Linked DNA regions of Diceros bicornis minor. The protein of the gene in region 4 interacts with the protein of the main gene of each other region in a biochemical or structural test. Links are inferred from orthologs where the notes say so. Each region holds a gene or a part of one and is shown on either strand. Other genes may lie near its edges.

Region 1 (7,825 bases), about 3.1 Mb from region 4:
AGACTGGAGACTGTACTTGAAGAAAAAAATGCTATAAATAACATTATTGGATCAACTAATAAAACTAGATTAGAGATGACAGATTAGATAAAATTATTGTATCAATGTTAACTTTGCTGAAGTTGATAAGTGTACTGTAGTTATTTAAGGAAATACACACCGAAGTATTTAGGGGTAAAGGGCTACAACGTATGCTACTTTGAAGTGGTTGAGGAAAAATATTACTTAAGAGAAAAAGAGGGGCAGACCCCGTGGTGTAGTGGTTAAGTGCTTGGGCTCCGCTGCTGGCAGCCCGGGGTTCGGATCCTGGGCGTGCACTGACGTACCGCTTGTCAGGCCATGCTGTGGTGGCATCTCACATAAAGTGGAGAAAGATGGGCACGGATATTAGCTCACAGCCAGTCTTGCTCAGCAAAATGAGGAGGATTGGCATGGATGTTAGCTCAGGGCTGATCTTCCTCACCAAAAAAAAAAAAAAAAAAAGGCCAAAAAGATATACATATTGAACAGAGAAAGCTCAATGACAAAGCAAATGGGGTAAAACGTCAATAATACGTCAATCTTGGTCAAGAATATATGGGTGTTCTTTGAACTTTTCTTATTTTTGCAGCTTTTCTGAAAGCCTGAAATTATTTCCAGATATAAAAAAATTAATGAAAAAATTACAGATAAAAAAGATTTAGTATAGAGGCCTCTGGCTGAAGTCAGAATTTGAGGAAGAAAGGCTGAGAATTGGGAAAGGATGCATATATGATAAAAAACTTAGAATGAAATGAAGTTAAATGATTTAAAATAAAGAGAAATTAAATTCTAAAATTAAATTTAGGACTTATATAAAACAACGTTTGAAAAATCAAAGTGCTTTACCTTAACTTAGCTGAACGTAGTATTCTGGTAAGTGAAACACAATTTCCTTCCATGATACCCTTTCCAACTGTAGGAATAATGCTTTTGCGGCATGCAACATACAATGAACATGCCAACCAGTGTATAACTTCTCCCTGGCAGGCAAAAGACAAACAGCAAAATGCATATATTATGTTAAAATGCTTAAATTCTGGAACCAGAAGAGACCTTAGAATTGTCTGGTCTAATTTTCATTCTGCATGTAACAGGTCAAAGAGGTGAAGATATTTGCTCTTGGTGACAAAGCTTAGTTAGTTGCAGTAACGGGTACAAAACTCCTCTCAGTAAAGTGTAACAGGCTAAATCAGTATTAATCTAAAGACAGATCTCTCACCTACACTTCAAATCTAGCATTATTGAAAGAGTTCTCTTAAAATTTCTTAGCATTAGCTTTCTCAATTTTAAAACACCAGTCATGGCCTTAATTGATGCTGATGTTCCTTTCTACCACTTTAGTTTTATGTTTCTTTTTTAAGTTTGGCAGAGAAAGCAAAGGACGGAGTAGAAAGATGGCAAGGGAGTCACATATAAAAAATTAATACCTATCTTGCACAACATAAAGGAGAGTGTCACCTTTGTGAGGTAAAAATTGGAGGATTTACTCCAATCTTTAAAACAGTAAGTATGGCTCTCTATCTTAGCAGATATCTCGATTTACAGTGCTACAAAAAAGATGACTTTTGGGAATTCAACACTTAATTCTCTGCTTTAGACTTGAGACATCTCCAAGCTAGGATCACTTGATGACTTCATCGCTGAACTCTATGTGAAATTTAGGGATTAAGAATTAGACACACACACACACACAAAGAATTAGATACAAATCGCACAGCACAACATAATACTGCTCCTATTTACTGTTCTGCAGATCCTCTTTAAGGCCAGACTCTAGAAGGATAAAAAGATTTCTTGCAACAATCCGAAAGGGGTGGGTAGAAAAGGGCGGCCACCAATAAAGCTAAAACCCAGTGTTCCCACCCTAAAGTGGTGAGAGGTCTTGTCTGCTCAAGGCATTAAACGAGGCAGGACAGCTTAGGCGGAATGTTTTTGGAAGGCTTGATTAGGGAATTGTTGGGAAACAGCATCCAAGTACTACAGATCAAGATGCTGGGGCGTGCAGCGCTCCAGCGCGAGCATCGCACACCTCCGCCCTAGCGAGGCAGACGGCGAAGTTCAGTGGCCCAGACTCCTCGGTCCGGCCCCACCACCAACCCTGTGTCCTCGGGCAGGCAGCTTCGCCTCTCGGGGCTCAGCCTCCTCATCTGTGGAAGGGGAACCTGTTCCAGGGCTGCAGTGGCGCTGGCAGTGGCGTCTCGGCACACAATTCATTTTAGTTTTTACCATCCTTTGTTTTTTTTAATCGATTTAAGGGGAGTACCATGACGTTTGTGGCGCCTGGCGGGGCGGAGGGAGTCTGGTCTGGAGTCTAGGGGACCCCTGAGGGGCGTGTGACATTGGACAAGCAGCTCCTTTTCCGGACTTCAGTTTCCCGCCTCAAAAAAAAGAAAAAAAAAAAAAAGGATCGATCAATCTGCACCCGCCCTTCCAGCTTCGCACTTCTCGGCGCCCGGCAGGGCAGCGACCCTCCTGGGTGGGGAACTCCCACCACCCCAGAGGATGGGGTGGGGAGGGGCGGGGCGGGGGTGGGGCCTGGCGGGGGTCTGTCCGGCCGCCCCACCTGCGCCGCTCACCTCTAGGCTGTAGTTGCCCCGGATGGCGGTGAAGTCGTCCAGGGCTTCGGCCGCGCTCCCCTCGTCCAGGTTCAGCTCCTGGCACAGGGCCTGCAGCGCCTCCCCGGCCGCGGCGACCACCGCCGCCCCCTCGGCGTGGGGCTCGTCCTCGAACATCCCCTCAGGCCCTGCGGGCGGCGCAGTCACAGCCCCCGGTTCCTTTCTCCCTCCTGGGCGCGCTACCCACAACCACCCGCGCCAAAGCGCGCGAAAATCGGCAGCTACAGAGCAACGTCTCTTCCACAGTCTGCATCCGCGTTCCTCCTCAAAAAAGTCCGCTTGTCCTCCAGGGCTCCCTGCCGTCCCTCTCCGGAAATGTGATAAGAAGATGGACCTTGGGTCCTGAAAAAAACCTGAGCTTGAGCCTTGGCGGGCAGCGGCGGGCACAGCCAGCGGGGCAAATGTGGAGCGGAGGGATCGGCAGTCCGCGCGCAGAGTGTGCTGGGAGTTGTAGTCCATTTCCTGTCTTGAAGGCAGCGGCGCCGCCCTTGTGTCCGCGGCTTTTTGGTCTGGGAAGGCCTGGGCTGCCTGTTGCGAGGTGGCCTCGTTCATCTTAGGGAGAAGCCTCCTTTGCCCCGCCAACCCATGGGCCTGGGTTTGTCACTGCCCTGCTGCGCCAAACATAGTCTGACTGAGACTTGCCCCTTGAGTTAAGAGATGGAGGTGAGAACAGAAAAAAGTCGTCCCTTGACCGTGGGGGGCCTCGTCGGACTCTCGTCCTTGTCTCCAGCGCCCAGTGAGTGGTCTGTCGAGTGATTGAAGGGTTGGTGAGGCAGGGATGGTAGGGAACACCTCCTCTTCTCTCCTTGATCGCTAAACGAGGCTTGGCCTGGGCTGAGAGAACTGCAGTAAGGAGGCCCTTTCTCAGCCCACTGGACCCTGGGAACCGTCCCAGTAGACAGTCATTCCAGGCTTAGGCATGGCCTGAGCATAAGCCTGAAGGCCTGGCCTGGCCTTGGAGCTTACGCTTCTGCTCCACCAAAACTTCTTCTCCGGGAAGAGCCAGAGTGCTCTTCTTAAAAGGTAAATCAGAGCATGTCACTGCTTCACTCAGAATCCTGCAGTAGATTCCTCTTGCCATTAAAATAATATCCAAACTCCTTTCCATGGTCTAGAAGGCCCCGTGTGATCTGGCCCCACCTCACGTGGGGCATTGTCCCACCCGGGTATATAATAAGGCCCGGCCTCACGGCTTTGTTTCGGAACCTTGAAAATGCCAAGCTGCCAAGCTGGTTCCTGCCTCAAGGCCTTTCTCACATGCTGATCAAACAGCTCCAAATACTCAACACCATATCTTTGCTTGTCTGGCTCCCCTCATCATTCAACTAAATGTCACCTTCTCAGGCCATCCCTGAGCGCTGTCTCCCGAGTAGCTGCCCCCTGCCCCCCAACATCCCCATTTTGTTGTCTTCATAGCACCTTATCACTATCTGAAATTATCTTATTTGTTTATTCACTGGCTCTTCCTACTAAAATGAGTTGCATGAGAGCAGGGACCTTCCTTTCATGTTGACTGTATTCCAAAGTTTAGATTAGTGTCACTCAGTACTTAGCATGATGTGTTTGAAAGATTACAAAGAGCCCCTTGTTGCTTGGATGAAGGAAAGAGTCACCAGAGATGAAAGTGGAAGACAGGTAGGTTGCCAAGGACCTCATACGCCCCACTAAAAGCCTGGACATTATCAGTGGGGTTTTAACAAAGGGAGGTGATGAGTTGGTGTGTGTTTTGAACAGGTTCCTCTGGCTGCTGTGTGAGACGGTTTGGATGGAGTAGAGACTAGAAGTATGGAAGTGGTAGGGGGCTCATCCAGCAGAGGAAGGAGCCAGGCTGGAGGTGGGGGTCCCTGGTGTAGAACTGAGGGGGTCACTGCTGAAGAGGGAGGAGTCCCCAATAACATAGGTTTCCATCTGGGCCAAGAGTGTGAAAAGTGATGCTGTTAACTGGAATGGGAGTACAAGCAGAAGAATGAGATCAGTTCTGGAAATGTTTGGGATGCTTGCAGGAAGTTTAAGAGGAGGCAGTCGGATCCTGGAAGGTAGCCCCTCTCTCCTGGCAATTTTCCAATCTTCTGCATTCTCCACACATAGAGAGGGTGCAACTTGGGAATCAGCCACAAGTCAGGTCTCAAATGAGTAAAAACTCAAACTCCCCCCAAAAAACTCAAACTTAACCACCTGTGTGGTACTTCCAACTCTGTTTCCTTCTAGAAGCTACCGCTGCAGCTGACTTCAGGACCATCTCATTATTCTCTGGAGAGGATGCTGGCGCATAGTGTCTGCACAGAGACTCTCCTCCCACGAGTCTTTGTTTATTTAAAGAGGAGTGGTTATGGGCAGTTGGGGGGAGATCTATCTCCAGTGCCAAGGGGTATATAACAGGGGTTATCATCCCTGCTCTCAACTTCCTTTCTTGTCAGCAAAGAAATGGCAGGGTTAGTAGAGGTGAGATGGATGAAGGTCCTCCTGTAGTAGCTCACTTGTTTTCTAATTAACCTACTGTGCTTATTTAGGAGAAAGCTCCAGGACTGGGGACAGCCTGGACATGGGTTTGGAAATATTCACGCAGTATCTGAAGCCAAGTGAGCAGGTTCATATCACTCAGGGAGTGTGTTGGCATGACAAGAGACTCAAGGGTAGAACCTTTAGGAACACCAACATTTCAGGGATGGGCAGAATTTGAGGAGTGTGCAAAAAACTGTCCAGAGAGGTATAAAAACGAGGAGCGGTATCTGAGGGCAGGCAAGAAGTATTCCATAGAGTCCAACACTGCAGAGAACTCAAATAGGATGAGGAATTCAAACAAGACCTCCAATATTATCGTTCATATGTTTTTAGTGACCTTTGTCAGAGCAGTTTTCTTTAGCACAGTAGGAGTGGAAGCCAGATTACTGAGGCTGAGGGGCTAATGGGAGGAAGATCAGAAAGTTGAAGTAGGAAGTAAAAACTTCTCTTTAAGAAGTTTAGTGGAGGCAAGGCAAAGGGAAGAGGATTTTCTAGGATAGGGAAAACACAAGCATGTGAATAATCAGGAACAGGAGCAGGCAGAGAGAGACTGAAGTTAAAAAAAAGATCATTGATATAGCCACGCCCTGGAAAAGGTGGCCAAGCTGGAAATCCAGAGCCTGTCCTTCCTCTAAATAGCTCCTGTCTGGAAGGTTATCACCTTACATCTAGATTAAACAGACCTGCTAGGTCCTCTGCTGAGTGGAAAATAGAGCAACATGCAGCAGGGAGTTGAGAGTGGTAAAGATTTGGAATAACTATTGAGAAATATCGCTGAGTCTGTCAAATGCAAACATCATGACAGAATTTTTGAGGAAAAATGGAATCAAAGTAGGTCTACCCCATAGGATCCCAGCTTTCACAGCTGGGCCTGGATAGGATCACAAGAGCTGAGAAGCCTCAAGTTTTTTTCCTTTGCTATAACTAATCAATCTCTTTTTTATCCAGATCTGAACTGCAGAGGGTGATTCTGGCCTTGAAAAGAAACCAAGATAGAAGGAAATAGCTCTCAGGAATTATAAACCAAACAAAATCAGAGACTCATTGCCCTATTTTTCATCTCTTTAGTAGTTAGGTTTTTGGTGAGTTGCAGTATATGTACTATAGCCCATTTCTTCTTTGCTACTGGATTTGATTCTCCTGATTCTTTTTCCACTTTATGCATACTAAGTCCTGAAGACCCTTCATTTCTTCATTCCACAAATGTTTACTGAATGCTTGCAGTGTGCAAGATACTGATTCTTCCTTTGCTGTGACTATCAGATCATCCAGACTTGAATTGAGGGGCATTGCTGGATTGAAAATGATCCCAGAACAAAAGAAACACCTCTCAAAGGTCATCCACTAAACAAAAACTGAGAAACATTATAGGTTTTTTTCTTCTCTTCAGGACTGAATTTGGGCTCTAAGTTTGGATTTTCAGTAAGTTGTATCCTGTCTGTGTAAAGCCTTCCATTTTCATCTCCTATCTTTTGATTCACCTGATCTGTCACCGTTTACATCCAATCAATCACTCGCTTCTGTGACTTTTCCTTTTGCCATGTTCTCAGACTGTCCGGAATTGAATTATTAGAAAGTACAGGCTTTGGAAATGAGGCCAGGATAAGAGGAAAATATTCTTTTTTAATAATTTTATTTATTCATTTATTTTTTCCCCCAAAGCCCCAGTAGATAGTTGTATGTCAGTTGCACATCCTTCTAGTTGCTGTACGTGGGACGCGGCCTCAGCATGGCCGGAGAAGCGGTGCATCGGTGCGCGCCCAGGATGCGAACCCGGGCGCCAGCAGCGGAGCGTGTGCACTTAACCGCTAAGCCACAGGGCCGGCCCAGGAAAATATTCTTGAATTCTCTTATTTCTCTTATGAAATAAAGCAGATTTAAGCAGTGCTCTTTTTTTTTTTTTTTCTTCTTTTGGATTGTAACTAAACTATCATTGGTTTTCAATAAACAGTACTGCCATAATCATCAAAAACAAGCACCGTGCTGTCCTCTTTGTTATCACTGACTCCCCTGCTCCTTCATCCCCTACACCTAATCACTAAATCTTGCGGATTCCTCCTCTACCAGGTTTCTAGTTGTCTTTCAACATTTTTTACTTTCTCTTCCAATCCATCTTATATTTAGTTACTACTCTAGTTTTTCTCAAGCGGGATTTATATCGTGTCAGTTTCTTTCTCACAACTCTTCAGGGGTTCACTATTACCGGCTGAATCAAATTTAGGGAGCTTAGCATGGAGGACACATCTATCAGATCCAGCCTTACCTGCATGCTTTTTTTTTTCCCCCCGTTTTATCAGTATGCTCTCCCTACTTTTTATCATGGTTCATGTTGGTTTTAATTTTTTTCTTGTTATCCAGTGGCATGCCCATTTAACACTAAACTGAGCTTTTTTGAATAGAACATGAAGTGAAATAGATTTACTCTGTCCTTCATTTTGGATCCAGATACATGGTGAAGGTTGTTTCTATTTTGATCCCATTGTGTGATAGCCTCTATGATTAGCCTCCTTGTTGTAGTTTAATATTTCAGAGTTCCCCAGAGCATGTGTCCAGAGCTTGATTAAAACTTTTAGAGGCTCCAAGACTTAAAAGATTATAGTGCACCCCCTCCCAAATGTAATTCAAAATATAAACAATTCTCAACTACAAAATAAATGTAAGAAAGTGCAACAAAGTTCTGATTATTT
Region 2 (7,928 bases), on a different chromosome or scaffold from region 4:
CCCCAAATTCCTTCCTATGGTAAGCTAAATAATGCCCCCCAAAGATATCTACTTCCTAATACTCAAAAACTATGAATATATTACCTTACATGGCAAAGGGGACTTTGCAGATATGATTAAATTAAGGATTTCGAGAGAGATTAACCTGGATTGTCAGGGTGAGCCCAATGTAATCACAAATCTCCTTATAAGAAGGTCACAGTCAGAGAGAAGATATAAGAATAGAAGCAGAGGTCAGAAAGAAGATGCAGGGGCCATTAGCCAAGGAATGTTGACAGTTACTAAAAGTTGGAAAAGGCAAGGAAATGGATTCTCCCTTAGAACTTCCAAAAGGAATGCAGCCCTATGGATCCATTTTAGACTTCTGACCTCCAGAACTGTAAGGTAATAAATTTATGTTGGTTTAAGCCACTAAATTTGTGGTAATTTGTTACAGCAGAAATAGGAAATTAAGACATTTCTAAAGTTTACACCTTGGAAGTTCATTAAACTGGAGGTGCTCACCTCATTTAGCTGCTCAATTATCTCTGACACAAAGCCATTACCAAAGAGGAATTTTTAAATAGTGTCCACAGCAACCTTGCAATCTAAGCGTTGCATGGTGGGTGGTGGTGGTAGAAAATTCTTTTTTAGGGTAACCATTATTTGGTTATACTAGCTGTACAATAGTGACTGTATAAAGAGAGAGTACTTATTTTTAGTTTCATTCTGTATTAAATACGAATTGCTTAATTTGTTGAAAGCAAGGAATCATAATAAATTATACTATGGCTGTTGATTCTTGTCCTGGAGAAAGTGAAACTGATTTAATTTTCAAAAAGACAGAGAGAAGATGTAAATGAACTAAATTACAGCTACAGAAAGAAAGAAAAACTATTGTACTGCATTAGAACAATGCACTGTTTTAAAAGAAAAACTGGGAAAGTTTTCACACTATTATTAACTACTTATTTACACAAGATTTCTAATCGATTATGGAGTGAGTAATCTTTTGGGAGCTCTACTACAAGTGGCAGAGCTAGTATATACATGTCTAAAACCTGTTCTTGGAAGAGGTCAATCTCCATATCTGTATACAATGCAGGTGAAAATATAATGAAAATTGGATAAAAAAAAATTTATACAATGAAGTCCTTCATCTTGGTCATAAAACTGGTTTTAAAAGTTTTTATTATGTTTTACAGTATTAAAGACTAAGAAATAGCACATTATAAACCATTATGACCTCAATAAAATAATTGAAAAAAAAAAGACTGAAAAGTAACCTAATATTTAAATAATAATAATAGCAGTCCAAAGCAAAAAATTAAATGAATCAATTAAATGAATATTTGTAGTGTGCTTAAATCTATTTGATAAGACATTAAATTTAATTTAATAATTTAAAATAACCTATTAATAAAATAGAATAAAATTCACTAGTAATTTCTATAAACTAAGTACTTTTATATTAAACACAAATTTGGTTAGTGTTCTAAACCAAAATCATGTCCCCTTTTCTCTATGCTCTTATCTTCCCTATTTAAAAAATTGTGAAAACTAATTATCCAACTTCCTTTTTTCTTTTTGTATGTAAACAAATAAAGTCTCTTCTAACATATTCTAGAACTGCAAGGCCAAACTCCCAGTCTCCAAGGTGCTGGCAAAATTTTAGAGATATCAAATTAAGAATCATGTGTGCCTTATTTTTAAAGGACTCATGCCTCACTTCTACCCTCACGCAACCTCTCTAGTCTCAACATCTCTCCACACTTCAAATCTCAAACAATCTCAAGTTTTAAGGCATTTTGGTTTTGTTTTTTATTTCTGTATTTTAAAATGTATGAAATTTATCCTATGTAGCATAGAGTTAGGAAAGGAAGATTCGCTTGTGAAATTTGTGAAGTTCCAAATAGAATTACTTTCCTTTGTCTTGTTATGCTGGAGTTTTTGCAACGTGCATTTGTTTCCTATAAATTTATTTTTCAGAATCAGAAATCACTGTCGACACCAAGAATAAAACTAGGGTGGCGACTGCCAGGAAGAATTCGTTTTTAGTCTGAAATTTAGGAAGCTAGCGAAGGCAAACAACAACCAAGAACACACAATCCCCCTCCCCCCAACACACACACACAAAACTAGGGTAGGGAGGAGAAAAAAGGCATTTCTCAAAAATGAGGAATTGAAAACTCTACCCCAAATATGTTAATCTATATCAAGTAAGCTAAAAATAGCAAAAATAATAGGAGATACCCCCAAAATGGTAATTAAATTGATATCATTTCAGGCTAGGTCACACTAATGTTTTTCTTCATATATATCTGTCTGTAATTCCTAGTTTCACAAGCATATGTTTTCCTTACTCAGTTAAAATAATAAATACAATATGTAGTTGCTTCTGAATAATTCCAATGGACATTTATTCCAACATATACAGTAGTAGATTTCCACTGAAATCTCCCCTCGCAAGAAAGATGGTAGGCTCCATTGAGGACTCTGTGAGTTCGAGCAAAGTAGTCTCAGCAAATCTTAGATTTCTTTAAAATCTTGCGTTTTATTTCAAACGTTCGTACATTTTGTCTGACAAAGAACACATCTCGGTCTATATTAACACAAATAGGCTCTCCCCTCCAAATCTACAGTCCAGTCTAGAGATCTGCACTCCACGTGCCTCCTCATTTCTCCCGTGGCTCCCTGAGCCCCCGAGGCGTCGCCAAGAGGAGGTCTCCGACTCCAAACTCCATCTGAAAACTCTCCAGGAAGTCTCCCCTTTACCGAGAATCGAAGCGCTTACCTGGCTCCGACTCCTTTGCAAACCTCGTCCTCTATAGCCGCCCCCATCCCCTCCTCCCGCCGACTCACCTGAATCGGGCTCCGACCGTGAAGGTTGAGCGCGTTGGGTGGCGCCCCCGCCTCGAGCAGCGCCCGCACCTCCTCGGCCCGACCCCGGGCGGCGGCGGTGGCCAACCTGTCGGCGGAGGACTCCATGCTGCTCCCCAACGCTCGCCCCTCGCTTTCTCCCTCCCTCCCGCCGCCGCCGAGCGCCACCGGCCCGCCCCAGCCTCTCGTGACCAGCCGGCCCCTCCTCTTGCCTCCGCCTTCCGCCGGCCCCCGACTCTGCCCCTCGACTCCCCCTGCGGGAGCGCGTTCAAGTGTTCTCCGAGGAGGCGCCCTGGGCTCGGAACACGCTGCAGATGTCACATCTCCTGAAGTCGCCCCGCGCGGGGCCTCTGCCGTCACCGGTGGGCAGCTCGCCCGGGGGCACCGGCCGGAAGCAATCCGTGCCAGCAGCCCGAAGAAGCGGAGGGGGCAGGGCGCCCGGGGCCCCTCCCCACCTGCCTCTGCCGCGTCCCCGCGCCCCTCCTCCCCGCGCTGCGCTCCCCACTCCAGCACAGGCGCACACGGGGCTCGAGCGAGTTCACTTCATAAGGCGCAGATTCTCCCTCGTTTCCTCCCTCCCCTGTACAAACCCTTGGCATTAGAAAGCTGCACAGGATTCCTAACTGCCATGTTCGAACCAGGGTGTTTGAAGTATAGGCAAAGTATTGCTTCCTCTTTTAATCAGAAGAAACGGCTGAGAGTCGGTATCACGGTATGACTATGAGGCTTCCCTTCTTTTAGAGGACATGCTCCCTTCTCCACCACTCAGCACTTGGCTTTCTCCTGCTGGGTCCACAATGCCAGAAATCCTAATTCAAACGTTCATTTTGGAGAATCTGCCCGCCTGCCAGCCTTTCCCCTGCCTCCCCCACACACACGTGTAAAACGGATGTCGGAGGCGAGAGTCTCCCAGACTTGCGCAATGCCTGGTACTAGTGCCTGGTATAAGGGCTGACCCCCAGAAGATGAGGTCTATTCAACAGGGATGGTGGAGATTTCTGCCTATAAGCAGAGAGGAAAGTGGCAAAGGGGTCATTGGACTGGTAGACTCCATTTGCTTTTTTTTTGAAGTATAACTAACATACATTATATTAGTCTTAGGTGTACAACATAATGATTCGATATTTGTATACACTGCGAAATGATCACCACGATAAGTCTAGTTACCATCTGTTATTATGTAAAATTATAAAATTTTTTTCTTGTGATATGAATTTTAAAGATTCACGTTCTTAGCAACTTTTAAATTTGCAATATTACAATATTATTGACTATAGTCACCACACTGTACATTACATGAGTTATGTATTTTATAACTGGAAATTTGTATCTCTTGGTCTCCTTCACCCGTTTTGTCCAGTCTCAAGCCTCCCACCTCTGTGGAGACCGCCAATCTGTTCTCTGAGTTTTGTATTTTTTTTTTTATACTCCACATATAGGTGAACTCATACAGTATTTGTCTGTCTCTGACTTACTTCACTTAGCACAATACCCTCAAGGTCCATCCAGGTTGTTGCAAATGGCAAGATTTCATTCTTTTTTATGGCTGAGTAGTGTTTCATGTGTATATATCTATATACACCACATCTTCTTTATCCATTCATTGGTGGATGGGCTCTTAGGTTGTTTTCACATCTTGGCTGTTGTAAATAATGTTGCAATGAACATAGGGGTGCATATATCTTTTTGAATTACTGCTTTCATTTTCTTTGGATGAATATCCAGAAGTGGAATTGCTGGATCATATGGTAGTTCTATTTTTAATTTTTTGAGGAACCTCCATACTCTTCCAAAGTGGCTGCACCATTTACATTCCTACCAACAGTGCCTGAGGGTTCCCTTTTCTCCACATCCTCACCAACACTTGTCATTTTTGATAATAGCCATTCTGACAGGTGTGAGGTGGTATCTCCTTGTGGTTGTGATTGTATTTCCCTGATGATTAGTGATGTTTAGCATCTTTTCATGTGCCTATTGGTCATGTGTATGTCTTCTTTAGAAAAATGTCTATTCAAGTTCTCTGGCCATTTTTAAATCAGATTGTGTGATTTTTTTTGTTATAGAGTTATATGAGTTCTTTATATATTTTGGATATTAACCCCTTATTGGATATATGATTTGCAAATATCCTCTGCCATTTAGTAGGTTGCCTTTTTATCTTGTTGATGGTTTCTTTCACTGTGCAGAAGCTTTTTAGTGTGATGTAGTCCCACTTATTTATTTTTGCTTTTGTTGCCATTGCCTTTGGAATCAGATCCAAAAAAAAATTTCCAAGGGTAATGTCAAGGAGCTTACTGCCTATGTTTTCTTCCAGGAGTTTTATAGTTTCTGGTCTTACTTTCAGATAGACTCCATTCTTTTTTTTTTTTTTTTTTTTTTTTTGGCTAGGAAGAGTCGCTCTGAGCTAACATCTGTTGCCAATCTTCTTTTTTTGCTTGAGGAAGATTAGCCCTAAGCTAATGTCTGTGCCAGTCTTCCTCTGTTTTCTATGTGGGTGGCCACCACAGCATGGCTTGACAAGTGGTGTAGGTCTGTGCCTGGGAACTGAACCCAGGCTGCCAAAGCAGAGTGCACTGGACTTAACTAGTACGCCATGGGGCCGGCTCCCTAGACTCCGTTCTTAATAAATAATCCCTCCTAGATCAGAAAAAGTGCTTAGCACTCTAGAGACAGAGTTGCATAGTGATTCAGAGACCAGGCTCACACACTGTCCTGGGGCTGCTCCTCTCCCTCCCCCTACACCTCTCCTTCCTACTGGAAAAATCTTACCATTTTCTTAGTTATAAAATAGGGGGCTGAGTGGTCCCTACTTCATAGGGCTGTTGTGAGTTTTAAATGAATTGATGTACATATAAGCATTTAAAACAGTGCCACACATCCTAAGCTAATACCAGTTAGCTCTTAAATTATCCATTTTGAGGGTTCGCTTGCAACCTTGTTGTGAGGCACAGAGAAGAACATGCTTTTGATAGAATTATCAATAGTATATAAAAGGGAAGCCCAAGAAGACCTGAATCACTGAAAAGATGATAGACACCCTCCACCACCCTCGTATGTAATGAAAAGTTAAACAGAACTAAGAGCATAACAAGTGAAAGAAAATCCAACAAGGTTCTAATTTTTCCCATGGTTATTACTTTTACACTTTTAAAAAAATATAGATTTTTTAAAAAAATTGAATTACTCAGGCTTTGCTGATGCCTTAAGGATATGCTTAATCTGCCTACTAGATAACCCAGCTCTATTTAAAAGTTATGTTTCAATCCCTGGTTAACATCTCTTGAAGACCCAGAATACCTGACTGTACTTTCAATTGCTTTTAAAATGATGCCAATTAAAACAGGTGGGATGTCAAATCTGTTATAAAAATCCACTGTGCATTACTGTGCTATCTATATTTTCCTCCAGGTACCTCTCAATTATTTGGACAACAATGGTATGGAAAATTCAAACTGTGGTAGAGAACATAAAATTCTTTCAATGTAGCTTAAGGTATTGATGGGAGGGAGGGAACAGATTTCCCTTGTAATATGTCTGGCTTTTAGACCAAGATCAAAATTAGTTTCCATCACTAAAATAATGGTTCTTAATCTTGGGGCAGGGTGAGTAGGCCCCTTTGGGAATCTGTTGAAAGCCGTAGACCCTCTCCTCAAAAAATAAAGTATGCAATAATTTTTTTAAAAAAGTGTGTTTCCTTGCACATGCATTTCTGAATATAACTTACAGGGAATTCAGAAATTCGTCTAAAACTCAACTATGGATTCCTATATCAAGAACTCTTTAGGGGCTGGCCTGGTGGCGTAGTGGTTAAGCTTCCACGCTCTGCCCTGGTGGCCTGGGGTTCAGAGGTTCGGATCCCGGGAGCGGACCTACGTACTGCTCATCAAGCCGTGCTGTGACAGCATCCCATATACAAAATAGAGGAAAATGGGCACACATGTTAGCTCATGGCCAATCTCCCTCACCAAAAAAAAAAAAAAAAGAACTGTTTTAACCTTATGCAATATATCAGACTGTTGTTGAAGGACATTGATGGCTGATGGAACCATATAAAAATATCCCTTGGGTGCATTATATGCAGACATGGAGCTTGGCTTCTCCCAAGAACAGGTTTTAGACATGTGTCTACTACTAGCTCTAGCACTTGCAGTAGAGTTTTCAAAAGATTATGGTATCCTTGGGTGTGGCCCCTTTGTTCTGGAAATTGACCCAATACTCCATTAGAAATCTTGCATAAAATGTAGTTAATAATAGTGTGAAAGCTTTCCTAGTTTTTCTCTTAAAGAACCTACCACACTCCCAATTTACCCTTCCATATTATCTCAGACCTAAGGGGCAAAACCTCAGAAGAAATAAAATATGAAGCCCAAGATGCCAGTGCTGGTTATGCCAGTCTCAGCTCTTTTCCGTGTGTAAGATGGAATCATAATATATTTCATGAGTTGATAAAATAAGAAGATGTATGTCAAAGAGCTTTTGTAAATTTTAAAGTTTGTTGGTTATTCTTATTATCACCCCCAAACTTACTTTTCTTCTTCCCTGAGAATGTCATGGCCTTGTTTAGGTTTATGCTGCATTGGCAGAGAAAAAAGATTACCACTTGTTCATTCATTCAACAAGCTCAGAGGCTAAGGGTGGAGCATGGAGTGGGGTAGGTGTTCAAGATATGGTCTCTAGAATTGGATTGCCTGCCTGGATTCAAACCTAGACTTTTCATTTAATCACTCTATAACTTTGAATAAAGTTACTTAATGTATCTGGGCCTCTGTTTTCTCATCTGTATAACTGGAATAACAATAGCACTGGCCTCAAACAGTTGTTGTAGGGATTAAATGAGGTATTACATGTAATGTGTGTAGAAGAGCAAAAAGAAGCAGAGGGTGACAGAAGAAAATGAAAAGGCAACCAAACTCATTCTGGTGGCTTAGGCAAAGGCTCCATCGATGCTGAAAGCTGACCCTAGTCTTGAAGAAAGGTGTAGGAGTATAGAGATGTAAAAGGAGAAAGATGTTCCAGGCAGAGGTGAGAGCACGTGCAAAGGCACAGAAGTTTGGAAACACTGAAAGCAA
Region 3 (7,459 bases), on a different chromosome or scaffold from region 4:
ACATACAGCAACTAGGAGGATGTGCAGCTATGACATACAACTATCTACTGGGGACTGGGGCGTTGGGGGGGAAAAAAAAAAAAGTCGTCGTTCTTATCAAAGATAAGAGTTTAAGAGTTTGGTAGACCAGAAGGAGGACAAGATGGGTGAACTGTGGTTCTGGACTTGGGAGACCCAAGAAAGCATGCTTTTGGGGAAAATGTCAACAAGAATGAAGTGAAGGGTAAAAGAGTGCAGTGGACAGAAATGGAAGATGAGCCTGAATAAGTGCAGGGCAGACCAATAAGAGCCTTGACTGCCATGTTGAACGGTACCACTTAGTACATGTGAGGCTTACTATGTTACAGCCAGGCATAATTCGTGTTCTTATGAGTGATTTTGAAGTGAAACAACTCTCAAATGATCCACTTTGCTTTTTAAACACAGTCATTAGGAGTTATTTAAATGACTTCACGAGTATAGACGGACACTGGCATGTGAGGGGTTTGAAAAGCCTTGAAATAAGTTTATTCATTTTTGTTTTTTTGTGTTTAGTCTAAAGAAAATTCATTCAGGTTTTCACAGAGTAATTGGAAAAGATGGATCATGTCCATTTGCTTTCAGGGACTGTCAATAAGCGAGCACATGTTGAGGACATCCCTACTGGCCAGGGTCTGAAGTCTGTCTTGTTCTGGAGAAGCAAAGAGAGAGTATTGTGAAAAGGGTGATGGCTCTTTTTTTTTTTTTTAACAAGACAGAATTTTTTTTTATTATATTTATTTTTTAAAATTATTTTATTTTTTGGTGAGGAAGACTGGCCCTGAAACTAACATCTGTGCCAGTCTTCCTTCTATTTTGTATGTGGGACGCTGCCACAGCATGGCTTGAGTGGTGTGTAGGTCCGCGCCCAGGATCCAAACCCACGAACCCGAGCCGCAGGAGCAGAGTGTACGAGCTTAACCACTACACCACCAGAACAGCCCCTATTTTAGTTTATTTTAAATTTCAGGGGCCGGCCCGGTGGTGCAAGCAGTTAAGTGCGCGCGCTCCGCTGCGGCGGCCCGGGGTTCGCTGGTTCGGATCCCGGGCGCGCACCGATGCACTGCTTGGCAAGCCATGCTGTGGCGGCGTCCCATATAAAGTGGAGGAAGATGGGCACAGATGTTAGCTCAGGGCCGTCTTCCTCAGCAAAAAAAGAGGAGGATTGGCGGATGTTAGCACAGGGCTGATCTCCTCACAAAAAAAAAAAAAAAATTTCAGGTGTATGTCATTATATTTTGATTTCTGTGTAGATTACATCATGTTCACCACCCAAAAACTAATTATAATCCATCACCATACACATGGGCCTAATTACCCCTTTTGCCTGCCTTCCTCCCCTCTTCCCCTCTAGGATGATGGCTCTTGAATTTCTCAGTCTAAATCTAAGCCTTGTTCTCAGTGCCTGGGATAAAATCAAATCCTAGTTCCCATTTCAGGCATGGACTAGCTTAGAACCATGGAAAATACACAAGCTTTGGAAACTAAACAGAAGTCATAATTTAACTGAAGGATCTGAGCCTCAGTTTTCTCATCTGTAAAAGAGGATTACAGTTTCTTAGATTGGGTGAAAGGATTAAGTTAGAAAATATATGTGAAACGTTCAGAGGACTGCTCCACAATCTTAGTCGTCCTGCGTCCCACCACCTCCCCCTCAAGTTTAGATGTGGTCTTTTGCTGAATACACTAACCAGCTGTTAGAATCTCTAGAGCTTGGTTTACAAAGATGAGTAATGCAGTTCATTCCCTCCAGGAAGTTCCTTCCCTTCTGAAAATTTCATCTCTCTAGTCTCTTCCTTTAGTGTTTCTTAAACTCCAATTTAGGCAGTCACTTGAAAGAGCTACTTAAAAAATGCACATTCTCAAGTCCCACCCCAGAAAATCTGATTTATTAGGTCCAAGAGGGGGGTCTAGGAATCCATCTTTTTTTTTTTTTTGGTAAAGATTTTATTTATTTATTTTTCCCCCCAAAGCCCCAGTAGATAGTTGTATGTCATAGCTGCACATCCTTCCAGTTGCTGTATGTGGGACACGGCCCCAGCATGGCCGGAGAAGCGGTGCGCGCCCGGGATCTGAACCCCGGGCTGCCAGCAGCGGAGCGCGTGCACTTAACCACTAAGCCACGGGGCTGGCCCTAGGAATCCACCTTTTTAAAAAGGCAGCCCACGGGGCGGCCGGGTGGCATAAGCGGTTAAGTGCACGCGCTTCGCTGTGGTGGCCCGGGGTTTGCCGGTTTGGATCCTGGGCGCGCACCAACGCACTGCTTGGCAAGCCATGCTGTGGCGGCGTCCCATGTAGAGTAGAGGAAGATGGGCACGGATGTTAGCCCAGGGCCAGTCTTCCTCAGCAAAAATAGAGGAGAATTGGCAGATGTTAGCACAGGGCTGATCTCCTCATAAAAAAAGAAGAAAAAAAAGCAGCCCAGAGGATTCAGATAGAGACTCCCTGACATTATATTTTGAGAAACTTTGATCTAGGGAGAGCTGCTTTCAATTAGAATGTAATGTGATGTTTTATAATAAAACTATACAAGAGGATGATGCCATCTGAGCTGTCCTGAAAGTATTTTTTTTTTCAGGAGCTAGAAGGTAACAATAAAAAAGCATTTTTTATAAACAATTAAAAAAAAACTTTTTTAATTAAGTCCATTTTTATAAATGGTTATACAGGGCATTGCTATATTCACTTAAGAATTTATAGAAGACTTTTTGTGGGACTATTCTGGGTTGGAATTTGGCACTACAACTCATTAGCTTTGTGACCTTGGGCAAGTTACTTCCCAGCCTAAATTTCTTCACTTATAAAATACATAATAGCTCTAGTATTTACTAATATCTTCCTTATGAGGGTGACATAAGGAATGCAAAACGCCTAACTGACTTAGGCACCTAACACAGTAGGCATTCAACAGTCATTTCACCTTATTCAGGCCCTGTCCAAAGCAGCAGAGGCCTCAGTTTTAGGGGAATCCAGACTTAAAAACCTCACAACATATCACGAAGTGCTGAAATTGTAGAAAATGAAGTGACAACATCTAAGATACAAGTACTACAGAGAATGACCTCCTTATGTCATTGCCAAGCCACCCAGGCTGCCTCCACCAAAACTAGGATAAAGGAGAGGCAGAATGGGAGGCCAGAAATTCAGGTGCTTCGGGGAAAAACTCCTTCAACCTTTGTAGCTGCAAAAAGCAGGAATCCTCTCTATCTTGTTTTATGCTTAGAAAAGTGTTTACAATTAAGGGGGAAAAAGTAAGTGGCTTATGGGACCTTGACTCTGGGTGATTCTCCAATGCACTTTAGCCTCAGGAGACAAGCTCTTGAAAAGTCCACCCGCCCTAAGTGAAGTGGTCAGCACCTCTGGGGGAATTCAATAAAATGGCGCTTGCCGGAGTCTCCCAAAGACCTTGCAAATTTGTCAGCTCGGTGTTCACTGGCTGTGTGCGCGCCGTCGCCAGATCTCGTGGCGTCTGCACCCACAGGGCTTACACCCACACTCAGAGGATCTGCCTGCCTGTCCGCCCACCCCGGGGAGGGGTGAGGCCCGAGAGGACTTTTAAGGGCGGTTAAATGAAGACTCAAACGAGCATGGGTGACAAGGCATAAGCGCACGCCGAGTGTCGTGGCCCATACAGTTGTGGAGCTGCAAGGCTCCGCTGACGCGCACCACCTAATCCCTGTAAAGACGTCCCTTGAGAAGGTCCAATATGGCGACGGACTCCTCCTGGCACAGCCCTGTTCCCTCCCCCACGACCGGCGGCTCTAGTAACGCCCATTGGCCAAGTTGGAGGCGGTGCCTGGCTTCTTTCGCCGCCTCATTGGACTGAGTGACTGAGGGAGACGCCAATTCTCCTCTGCCCACTCCACGTTCCCGCCCTCAGAGTTCATTCCGCGTTTAATTGGCCTTTGCTTTACGTCAATTTGCGTCCTATCTTGTCTCTTTTCAGTGTTAATCCAATCATAACTTCCCTGGCTGCCCGCCTGATTTCTGATTGGTTTCGATCAGCTTCCTATCCCGTTGCTGCCTACTTCTTACCTCTCGTCCCACCAGAACTTTGCCCAGGCATGTCCAGGGTTCTGGTTGGTCGTTATTCTGTCATTCCAATCAAAGCTCTTCCTATCCCTACGTCTGAGGCAGCCCGCCTGCCTGTTGACTGGTTTCTTTCCAAGCCTATCATCTGTAGCTTCCGCCCATCCCCACTTCCTTCGTCTTTCATTGGCTTTTAACACTGAGAGGGCGGCCTTTTTGGGCGGACACCAGACACGCAACTTTGTCTTACACGCCTCAGAGAGCAAGCGAGTCTTGCCATTGGGTAATCTGCCCGCCTTTCTTCTGCAAGTCCCTCCTTTCTCCCTCCCTCATTGGGCGGGGCAGCAGTAGTGGGGCGGGGCATAGGCCGGGCTTGTGGCGCGCTGCTCCCTCCTCCTTACCCCCCCCCTCCCTGTCCGGTCCGGGTTCGCTTGCCTCGTCAGCGTCCGCGTTTTTCCCGGCCCCCCCCAACCCCCCCGGACAGGACCCCCTTGAGCTCGTCCCTCAGCTGCCACCATGAGCGGTAAGGATGAGTCCACTCCAAGCTTAGGGGTGGGAGGGGAGTGAGGGGGCGCGCGCGAGGGCCGACCGGGCGGTCCCCGCCGTGAGGGGGGGCGGGCGGGAGGCGGCGGCGGCGGCCTTGGTCCCGCCCGGGGCGGAGGGAAGGGAGGGAGAAGGGCAGTGGCGGGGCCTCCGAGGAGGAGGGGGATGGGCCGCCCGCCCCGGGGGAGGGGGCAGCGTGGCCTCGCCCGCCCCCTGCCCGCCCCGGCCACGGGGGACGGGCCTTACCCCCCACTACTCGGCCGCCCGCCTGAGGCTCCTCCCGCCGGGGGCTGGAGCCGCGGGGGCGGCCCGAGCAGTGCAGGCCCCGCCCGGGCCAACCGCCTCCCTGGTTCGCCCTCTCGTCGCTGCCTGCCCCAAGGCCCTCCCCCCCCCGGTAGGTTTCCCCTCCCCCCCCGTCCCGCCCTTTCCACGCCCCTCACCCCGAAACCGCCCTTTCCCTCTAGGGTCCGCCTTCCTCCATCCGCCCCGAAACCTCCTGATTTCTAACCCCTGGACTCCTTTAGCCCCTCACCAGTGTTCACAAATGCTCCCCCACTCACACTTAGCTCTTCTTTCCCCTTTTCCCCTTCTCTCCTCTTGTTCCTTTTTACACTTGAATTTTCCTCTTTCTCCATCTTTGACCCTAATTTTAGCAAGCTTTCCATCCACCCACATGTTTTTTGCTTTACCTATCCTTCTCCTTTTTTTCCCCAGAATACTTTTTCTTATTTTGGAACTCTTTCAACATGCCCACCGCCCCTCACCTTTCTTATACGGGAAGTACTTTTTCAGTGTTTTCTGAGTTTAGTTTTGTGCAAGGGAGAATTGAGGCCCAGTTTTGGCAGTACCGGGCCTAGTTCAGGTCTTACACGTCTTATAACTGTCCTTTCTCCCCCAATCCATTTTTTTTTTTTTCTTTTTCACACTGGCGCCTTTCACCTTCCTGTTAGTCATTTCTGTTTCATCATAGTCTCCTTTACCCTTCCTCGCTTTACCCTTTTCCTTCCCCCGACTTTAAGTTGTTTGTCTTTTAATTCCTCGTAGATCAAGATCACTCCATGGATGAAATGACAGCCGTGGTGAAGATTGAAAAAGGCGTTGGTGGCAATAATGGGGGCAATGGTAATGGTGGTGGTGCCTTTTCTCAGGCTCGAAGCAGCAGCACAGGCAGTAGCAGCAGCAGTGGAGGAGGAGGAGGGCAGGTAAGTGATGATCAGGATACAGTTGGGGAAGGTGTTGAGAGGATGTAGGTATTCTTAGATGGTTGTCTTCCTTTTCACAGAAAAATTTTTAGGAAGAGGCTGAACCATTTTATAGATAGGGAAGTAAGCCCAGAAAGGCAAGTGACTTGGAGATCCCCAAAGATGAGAATTTTAGCGATATAGATAGGTCAGGTTTTGGTTGTGTTTTTTTGCTCTTTGTTTGCACTGTGTTGCTGCTTATTTGTTGTATACTGCCCTCTGGGCTGGCAGCTGGGTGTCACTAAACTAACTACTTTCTTCTGTATTTTCTGGCCAGGAATCTCAGCCATCCCCTTTGGCTCTGCTGGCAGCAACTTGCAGCAGAATTGAGTCACCCAATGAAAACAGTAACAACTCCCAGGGCCCAAACCAGTCAGGGGGCACAGGTGAGCTTGACCTCACAGCCACACAACTTTCACAGGGTGCCAATGGCTGGCAGATCATCTCTTCCTCCTCTGGGGCTACCCCTACCTCAAAGGAACAGGGTGGCAGCAGTACCAATGGCAGCAATGGCAGCGAGTCTTCCAAGAATCGCACCGTCTCTGGTGGGCAGTATGTTGTGGCTGCCACTTCCAACTTACAGAACCAGCAAGTCCTGACAGGACTACCTGGAGTGATGCCTAATATTCAGTATCAAGTAATCCCACAGTTCCAGACCGTAGATGGGCAACAGCTGCAGTTTGCTGCCACTGGGGCCCAAGTGCAGCAGGATGGTTCTGGTCAAATACAGATCATACCAGGTGCAAACCAACAGATCATCACAAATCGAGGAAGTGGAGGCAACATCATTGCTGCTATGCCAAATCTACTCCAGCAGGCTGTTCCCCTCCAAGGCCTGGCTAATAATGTACTCTCAGGACAGACTCAGTATGTGACCAATGTACCAGTGGCCCTGAATGGGAATATCACTTTGCTACCTGTCAATAGCGTTTCTGCAGCTACTTTGACTCCTAGCTCTCAGGCAGTCACGATCAGCAGCTCTGGGTCCCAGGAGAGCGGCTCACAGCCTGTCACCTCAGGGACTGCCATCAGTTCTGCCAGTTTGGTATCATCACAAGCCAGTTCCAGCTCCTTTTTCACCAATGCCAATAGCTATTCAACAACTACTACCACCAGCAACATGGGAATTATGAACTTTACCACCAGCGGATCAGCAGGGACCAACTCTCAAGGTCAGACACCCCAGAGAGTCAGTGGGCTACAGGGGTCTGATGCTCTGAGCATCCAGCAGAACCAGACATCTGGAGGCTCACTGCAAGCAAGTCAGCAAAAAGAGGGAGAGCAAAACCAGCAGACGCAGCAACAACAACAAATTCTTATCCAGCCTCAGCTAGTTCAAGGGGGACAGGCCCTCCAGGCCCTCCAAGCAGCACCATTGTCAGGGCAGACCTTTACAACTCAAGCTATCTCCCAGGAAACCCTCCAGAACCTCCAGCTTCAGGCTGTTCCAAACTCTGGTCCCATCATCATCCGGACACCAACAGTGGGGCCCAATGGACAGGTTAGTTGGCAGACTCTTCAGCTGCAGAACCTCCAAGTCCAGAACCCACAGGCCCAGACAATCACCTTGGCCCCAATGCAGGGTGTTTCCTTGGGGCAGACCAGCAGCAGCAATACCACGCTTACAC
Region 4 (7,254 bases):
CAGAACACTGGTGAAAAATCTCATGACCCAAAATGCCCATCCACGGGAGGGGGCCACAAAAACCGTGATTCATCCAGCCCCAGGAATACCAGCAGCTGTCAAGGACTGAGGCAGGTCGACGCAGAATCCTCTCAAAGACAAGAAAAATGCTATAGGGAAATGCACTTATATGATCCCTTTTTGGATTAAAAAACTCCTGAAACCTGTTTTCTCTGATTCGGTTTCTGTTATTATAGAATCCATTTCAGGAGGAACCTCCGTATGGGGAGAGGTTCCATGAGGAATTGTTGCCTTCTCTGTAAAGTGTGAACAATGCACTGTCTGAACACGGAAATAAAGGAAAAACTACAATTTTTAAAACTTTGGAAAAGGAAAGCTGTCATAACCACCTTTAAAAAAACACACAAAATAGGCTTAGGAAAAGAAAAGAGAAGGAAGGATGGATGGGGCTGAGATCCTGCCCCCTTCAACTTTCACCTCTTAACTCTTTTTCTACAGTAAATATGTATTATATTTAGTTTGTTTTTTAAAGCCATGACAACAGGGTAGAGGTGGATACGAAGAGCCAGGAGGAATGGCTGAATTGCAGAGCCTCGTATGCAGGAGATGCTCTATGAATGCGCACTGGTGCAGAAGCTGAGCCTGTAGCTTGTTTCAAGGACTGCCCCAAACAAATGCCAGTGCAGAGGGTCGGCGGAGGTCACAGCGCATACAGCCAGCGGCTACTCAAAGGCACAAGAGTTGGGGGTGTTAGAGGGCAAAAGCTGACCCCCCATCCCTGCCCACCAGCAGAAAATGCCCACTAGCCCTTAAGTATTGTGAGGGCACAGGCTCCTTACTTGCCTCTGTGCCTAGTACCTAATGGGCGTGCACTAACTCAACAACTGTTGAATGAATGGACTGCTCAGGCCCAGTGAGGCTGCCCCAACACCACTGGGGGTGGAGCGGAGGGCACGTTTCCTCAGCCCCATCCCTGGAAGTATCTCTGAGCCTGGAGCTCAGCTCCTTGAGGGCAGGACCCACAGTCCTGGGCCTGTATGTACTTGTCAGTCAGCTCAATGGAGGATACTTGTCCAGGTCCCAAGCTGGTACCTGCAGGGACAAGCCACCAGGATATAGGAGACAAGCCAGGTGACCCAATCCTGGGACCCCCTCCTCCTCACTCAGTAGGAGGAAGGGGCCCTGGGCTTCCTTCAATCTGTTAGCATCTCTAGGAGGCAAGGCATCCTAGCACAGCAGTTAACTGCTCGGGAAATTTGGACTGGTCCTACCACTCACTAGCTGAATGACTAGGGAAGGTTCTAAGATTTCTAGGCCTCAGCTTCCCTATCTGTAAAAGGGGAAGGTTGTTGAGAGGGTTAAACAAGTTAATTGGGTAAAGTGCTTGGCACAGAGCCTGACACACAAAACAGTCTCAAAACAATGGTGGCTGCTATTGTTATTAGTATTAGCATCTTGGTGATTCCGGAAGGCAGCACTGGGCATGGAGCCAAGGAGATTGGGGGAGCCTTGCCGGGATGCCTCAGGGACCAGCTGCCACCCAGGCCCCCATCAGCAGTTGGGCAGCTTCCACCTCCTTGCGCTGGGCCCTGCCTCACCCCTCCCACTTGCTCCAAGCCCCCTGCTGAGACCCCTCCTGCTCGCCCCACCTTCACTCACAAGCTGTGCCAGTCAAACTGGTCTCCACACCCTGTCCTGCAGCCCACAAGTCCAAGCATCAGGCCTCCACTCCCTTCTCCCCCACCTCTTCTGGACCCCCCAGATTGAACTGGTCTTAAGCCTCTTGCTGTTCAGGGAGCACTTTATCAAGGCATCTCCCAGGGATGTTTACTCTCTCCTTGCGGTGGGGGGCCTCCTCTCCAGCTCCCAGAGGCCCAGCCTACCCAGTACTTCCACAGGGGCAGAGGGGTCTGCCTGCCTGATTAATGAGGTTCCATAGCAACCAGAGCCTGGGCGGGTGGAGGGTGGCAGATGGAAGGACAGGCAGAGGGAGGGGATCAGCAGCTGGCCCAGCCACCCCGCCCCTGCAGAGAAGGCCTCCCAGCCAGGAGGCCTGTCCCCAGAGGCCCAGGCCTGCACCTGGCAATCTAGCGCTGAGGCAGGAAGGAGGATCTCCTCAATGGCTCTTCAACGGTCTGGCCCCAGGACACCCTCCTTCACCTCCCCAAGCAGCCATGCCCACTACTCAGCTACAAGCTCTGGTCTGAAGCCAGCAGCCCTCAGTTCAAATTCCAGTCCCACCACTTGCAGCCGTGTGACCGGGGCAAGTCACTTGCCCTCTCTGAGCCTCAGTTCAGATGGGTCACCGAGCTCTCAGTATGGTTGTGAGTTTTAGCTGGCTCGAAGTCTGCCAGGCCTGACATGCAGTCTGCGCCAGTTGAATACACGTGGGCCATTATTATCTCTGAGTTTGACCCACGCGAGGCTCCGGTGAGGACGCTGAGGCCCAGAGCACAGAGAAGCAAACAAGGACTGGCCCGAGGTCACCCCGCACCCTGGGGCGGGGCCCGGAGGCTCAGCCCAGGCTCGGCACCGCCCAGGCCGGGCGCCTCAGCCCACCCCTCCCCCGCCCCCGCGGCCTCCGGGCCAAACACCGCGCCCCGCCCGGGTCTGCGCGGGGGGTCGAGGCAGCGCTCTCAGCCCAGAGTCCCTGGTGTCCGTACCGGCGGGCGGCCGAGCGCGGGGCGCGGCGCGCTGGGTGTGGGCCGGGGCGCCTGCGGCGTGGCGAAGAGCAGCAGGTCGGGGTCGCGGGGGCCGGCGGCGGGCGCGGCAGGGCCGGCGGGGGCCGGCGGGGCGCTGGCGTCCTGCGCCGTGGAGATGATGACGATCTGCGAGGAGTCGAGCAGCCGCAGCGCGCCGGCCCCGAGCAGGGCCTCCAGCGCCGGCGCGCATGGGCCGCCCGCGGGGGCCCCGGCCACGGCCATGGCGCTCACGGCCCGCGCGGCCCGGGGGGCAGGCGGCGGCGGCGGCGCGGGCCCATGGCGGCAGGCCGCGGCGAGGGCTCGATCCCGCTCCGGATCCCGCTCCGCCCCCGGCCGCCGCTGCCTGCAAAGTCCCGGCCACTTTTACGCGCCAAATCCTTTTTGCCGCGAAAGAGCCACGAGCCGCCGAGCGCTGCCACCATTGGCCGTCCGGGCCGTGACGGAGGCGACGGCGACGGCGCCCATTGGCTGCAGGGCGCCGGACCGGCGGCGGAGGGCGGGACGGGGCGGCGGCGCGAGGCGGCGCGACCAATCGCGGGACCGGGCGCGCGCAGGCTTTGTCGGGGCGGTGCCAGGCGCGTTAGCACTCCCCGCGCGCAGCCGGGACGGCCCCGGCCCGAGGCGTGGTGGCCCCGCCCCCGGACACACCTCACGCTGCTGATCCTCTGTGGAGACCTTAGGACTGAGCGTCTATTCTGCACATCTCACCATCAGCAGACCCCACGTGACCCCCAGACCCCCCCGACCCACCCCTCCCCCACCTGTAGCCCCAATACCCTCAGCCCAGATCTCTAGAAACTGCCCCTCCTCTTTTCTGGGTTCTCAGGCCCACCTCCAAAGCCCCTGTCACCCAGAGCCCAAGCAGAAGGGGGCTGCTAGGAAATGGGGGTGGGACTTCTGGCCTAATACAGTTTGGGATTTTCCTGCAAGCTCCCTTATAGCTGGAATCCCTTCAATAGCCCATACACAGCTTCTGCTTGAACTCATTCATTCAACAAACGTTTAGACAGCCTGCTCTGTGCCCCATTCTTGACTCCTGGCTCTAAGGAACTCGCAGTTTAGTGAAAAAGGGAGGAGGGGAACAGAGAGGTAACACATGTTTACGATACGATGAGGAATTTCCACCATAAAAGTGACTCCATGTTAGACCTCACCAAGGGAGCAGGTGAGGGTGCTGAGCATGAAAATGCATTTAATCTGGAGGCCCTGGGACCTCTCCATCAGCCATTTCTCATTGTGCAGGTCAGCTGGTTTGACCAATATTGTCCCCTCCTCTGTCAGGCCTTGTGCCAGCACTGAGGGCAGAGATGTGAAATTCATGATTTACACGAATTTGCCTGCCATCTGGTGGGGATGACCCACAAGAAAAAAAGTAGTTAAGACACAAACAAGAATCAAATCACTAGGCCCAGTATGAACATCACTTCCTCCAGGGAGCCCTCCAGAGTCCTCCATTGCCTGATGCTGCCTCTGTTCCAGCACTGACCACACACTGGGTTTCTCCATCTACCTCCCCTACCAGACTGGGGCCTCTTCCCAACACTGGCCTGGCCCAGAGCAGGTACCTAGAAGGGTTAGGAAAGAAACACAGAGGCTGATGCCAGAGGCCACCTAGAATGCCACAAGGAGGCCTTGGTTCTGCAAGAGTAGTCCTTAGGCCCCTGGCTTCAGAATCACCTGGGCACTTGTTAACTCTAGCCCCACCCCAGCCCTGCCAATTTAGAATCTCTAAGTGCCCAGGAATCCACATTTTCACAAGCAGCCCCCGATCCCCATTCCAGGTGATTTTTCTGTGCTTTTCCCATTTGAGAACAAATTGGTATACCCGTATAACCAAAATGTGTGGTGCAGCCTCAAATTACAGCCCCTTGAGGGTATTTCTCAGCTTCAGTTTCCTCATCTGTAAAATGGGCACATTGCCCTGGCCCCTTCCAGGGCTGCCATGAGGATGAAAAGCCTAAGGGATCTGAAAGTGTTTTATAAATTATGAGGTGGTTTAGGAAAGCAGCAGGAGTTTCCTAAGCAGTTTGTGAAATCACTCATTGCAGATCCTAGACTGTGTCTGCACTAGAAGGAACCACAAAGACTACACAAGCTTCTTGCTGCACAGATGGGAAAACTGAGGCCCATTCAGGGGTAGGGACCTGTGAAGCCAGCCAGTGATAGAATGGGGCCTACACTGGATTCCCATTCCTGGGGCCAGCCTGTCCCCCTTCTCCTCCCCGGTTAGAGAAGCTACTATTGGAATGGTAGGTCTCATTTAAAATAATCAAGCCAGGGGGCCGGCTCGGTGGCTCAAGCAGTTAAGTGCACGCACTCGGCTTTGGCGGCCCAGGGTTCGCCAGTTCGGATCCCGGGTGCACACCAGCGCACCGCTTGTCATGCCATGCCATGCCATGGCGGCGTCCCATATAAAGTAGAGGAAGATGGGCACAGATGTTAGCTCAGGGCCAATCTTCCTCAGCAAAAAAAGAGGATGATCGGCATTGGATGTTAGCTCAGGGCTAATCTTCCTCACAAAAAAAAAATAAAATAAAATCAAATAACCAAGCCAGACCCTGACAGAGGGTGAGATAAGCCAGTAACACTCCCTTTCCAGATGGAGATTCCTTCCTCCACACCTTCCCAAAGGGTCTCAATAACAGTAACATTCACTTTTTGTAAAGCACTCTCATACCCAATAGTCACTCAACAAACACTTATTGAGCACGTGCCATGTGCCAAGCACTGTACTGGTTGCTGGAAAAGACAGATATTGTTATTATTGCCCCATTTTATGATGAGGAAACTGAGGCCCAAAGGGCACAAGCTTACCTAGCATATGAAAGGCTATTATTCAGGCTTGGTGAGGCTAAAGCCAGAGGTGTTTCAAAGCCCTGCCTTTCCCCAAAGTATTCAAGTACACAGCCTCCCAGGTAGAAGCCAGTGCTCTCCTTCCCACCATCTCTCCTGTTCTGCTGCAGCAGAAAGGAGCGAAGATCAGAATTCCCAGTGTGAAATCAAGGAAGAGATAAGGGCATTCTGTATCTATTAATACCCACTTGAAAGCAGCAAAGGCCTGAGAGATGGGTTCCCTTGGCCCCAAGCCTGGCAGAGCCTGATAAGGCTGTTCTCAACATCAACAGTTCTCCTCAGGCTGGGAGGCTTCCAGAACATCCACAGTTACTGGGCAGCCACTTCCATTGATAATCTCCTTTCAATCTGATAATCCCATAAGTGAGGCTTGTTTATCCACATGGTGCAGGAGGAAGGAAGTGCAGTTCAAGGTCGCAAAGCAGAACTGAGATGAGAACTTGGCCTGTTTCACTGCAAAACCCGGGAGGGCCTGCCCTTCATACCATGTCATCCTCTGTAAACACCCCAAGAGCTAGGCTCGGGCTGTCAAGATTACAATGTGTGGTTTCCAAAAGGTATTATGGTGGATAATGGCTCAGTTAGCAGGTGCTCACCCCCATCACCACCTCCACCAACTCCTTACTCTAGAGGAGTCCAAAGGGGTGTAAGCTCCTGGGCCCACGATCCTGGGCCTGGAGACATTTTCCCCGCGATTCTTGCCAAGAGGCAGGATAGTGTAGAAGTGATAGCATGGGCTTCTAATTATTTATTTATTTATTTATTTTTCCCCCAAAGCCCCAGTAGATAGTTGCACAACCTTCTAGTTGCCGTATGTGGGACGCGGCCTCAGCATGGCCGGAGAAGCGGTGCGTCTGTGCGCGCCTAGGATGCGAACCCAGGCCGCCAGCAGCGGAGCACGGGCACTTAACCGCTAAGCCACGGGGCCGGCCCTAGCATGGGCTTCTAAATCAGGTGGATGCAAAAGGAACCTTGGTCTGTGTGACCTTGGACGAGTCAATTCACTTGCTCTGAGCCTCACTCATTCAAACCACAGATATTTATTCAGTACCTACTATGTGTCAGCATTATGCTAGGTGCTGGGGAAACAGCTGGAAGCAAAAAAGACCCATTTCTGATACCTGGAGCTCATAGTCCAGTGGGAGAGTCAGAATTATTTCTATGTACCTGCACAATATGCTCATTAATAAGTTTGACAAAAGACACAAATAATTCAAAGTTATTTATTCTACATATACCACCTCCCTAAACATACACTCTTAGCTTGAAAAAAAAAAAAATCTCCAAACAGGAACATCCCATCATTATAACGAGTGCATAATTGGGAGAAATGATTCTGTAGTGACTTAATTTTATTAAGGGGCACAGAGACATCCATTGTTGAGTTCTGGCAGAGGGAGGTGGGGAGTTTTATGTCTGCAGCATCACGTTTGTCTCGAATGATCCCTTGTTGCTACACTGAATTCTCTGTTTGACTGACGGTTTACTGTCCCTGGAGATGCTCTGTCACCGTGCCAGTTCTTTCTGGCTGTGTCTGAACACAGGCCTCTTACTCATCCGAGGCTAACATGGAAGCAAGCCTTGGGAGTCAGGCAGACCCCAGCCATGTGGTTGGCTAGATGACCTTGAGGAAGTGATGCACCCACTTGAAGGGCTTTGCTTACCCCATCCATAGGCCGAGGGGCAAAGGCTCCTTTAC

Evidence for each region.
Region 1: the proteins of E2F1 (region 4) and RBL1 form a complex in vitro, tested with the Homo sapiens proteins (2 studies listed by BioGRID). The link is inferred for Diceros bicornis minor from reciprocal best matches to the Homo sapiens genes E2F1 and RBL1.
Region 2: the proteins of E2F1 (region 4) and cyclin-dependent kinase inhibitor 2A-like form a complex in vitro, tested with the Homo sapiens proteins (2 studies listed by BioGRID). The link is inferred for Diceros bicornis minor from reciprocal best matches to the Homo sapiens genes E2F1 and CDKN2A.
Region 3: the proteins of E2F1 (region 4) and SP1 form a complex in vitro, tested with the Homo sapiens proteins (4 studies listed by BioGRID and IntAct). The link is inferred for Diceros bicornis minor from reciprocal best matches to the Homo sapiens genes E2F1 and SP1.

What each region holds. Positions count from the first base shown.
Region 1 is NC_080758.1:22,932,584-22,940,408, reverse strand, and holds the start of RBL1 (retinoblastoma-like protein 1), read right to left. Parts: upstream 3,004-7,825; 5' UTR 2,754-3,003; coding exon 2,598-2,753; intron 2,400-2,597; exon of another isoform or gene 2,288-2,399; coding exon of another isoform or gene 2,285-2,287; exon of another isoform or gene 2,251-2,284; coding exon of another isoform or gene 2,119-2,250; intron 1,002-2,118; coding exon 868-1,001; intron 1-867. UniProt on the Homo sapiens protein: Key regulator of entry into cell division. Directly involved in heterochromatin formation by maintaining overall chromatin structure and, in particular, that of constitutive heterochromatin by stabilizing histone methylation.
Region 2 is NC_080761.1:44,432,249-44,440,176, forward strand, and holds the start of cyclin-dependent kinase inhibitor 2A-like, read right to left. Parts: upstream 3,004-7,928; 5' UTR 2,968-3,003; coding exon 2,842-2,967; intron 1-2,841. UniProt on the Homo sapiens protein: Acts as a negative regulator of the proliferation of normal cells by interacting strongly with CDK4 and CDK6. This inhibits their ability to interact with cyclins D and to phosphorylate the retinoblastoma protein.
Region 3 is NC_080756.1:16,909,874-16,917,332, reverse strand, and holds the start of SP1 (transcription factor Sp1), read left to right. Parts: upstream 1-4,456; 5' UTR 4,457-4,563; coding exon 4,564-4,570; intron 4,571-5,123; exon of another isoform or gene 5,124-5,452; intron 5,453-5,634; coding exon 5,635-5,792; intron 5,793-6,108; coding exon 6,109-7,459. UniProt on the Homo sapiens protein: Transcription factor that can activate or repress transcription in response to physiological and pathological stimuli.
Region 4 is NC_080758.1:26,081,905-26,089,158, reverse strand, and holds the start of E2F1 (transcription factor E2F1), read right to left. Parts: upstream 3,017-7,254; 5' UTR 2,925-3,016; coding exon 2,664-2,924; intron 1-2,663. UniProt on the Homo sapiens protein: Transcription activator that binds DNA cooperatively with DP proteins through the E2 recognition site, 5'-TTTC[CG]CGC-3' found in the promoter region of a number of genes whose products are involved in cell cycle regulation or in DNA replication.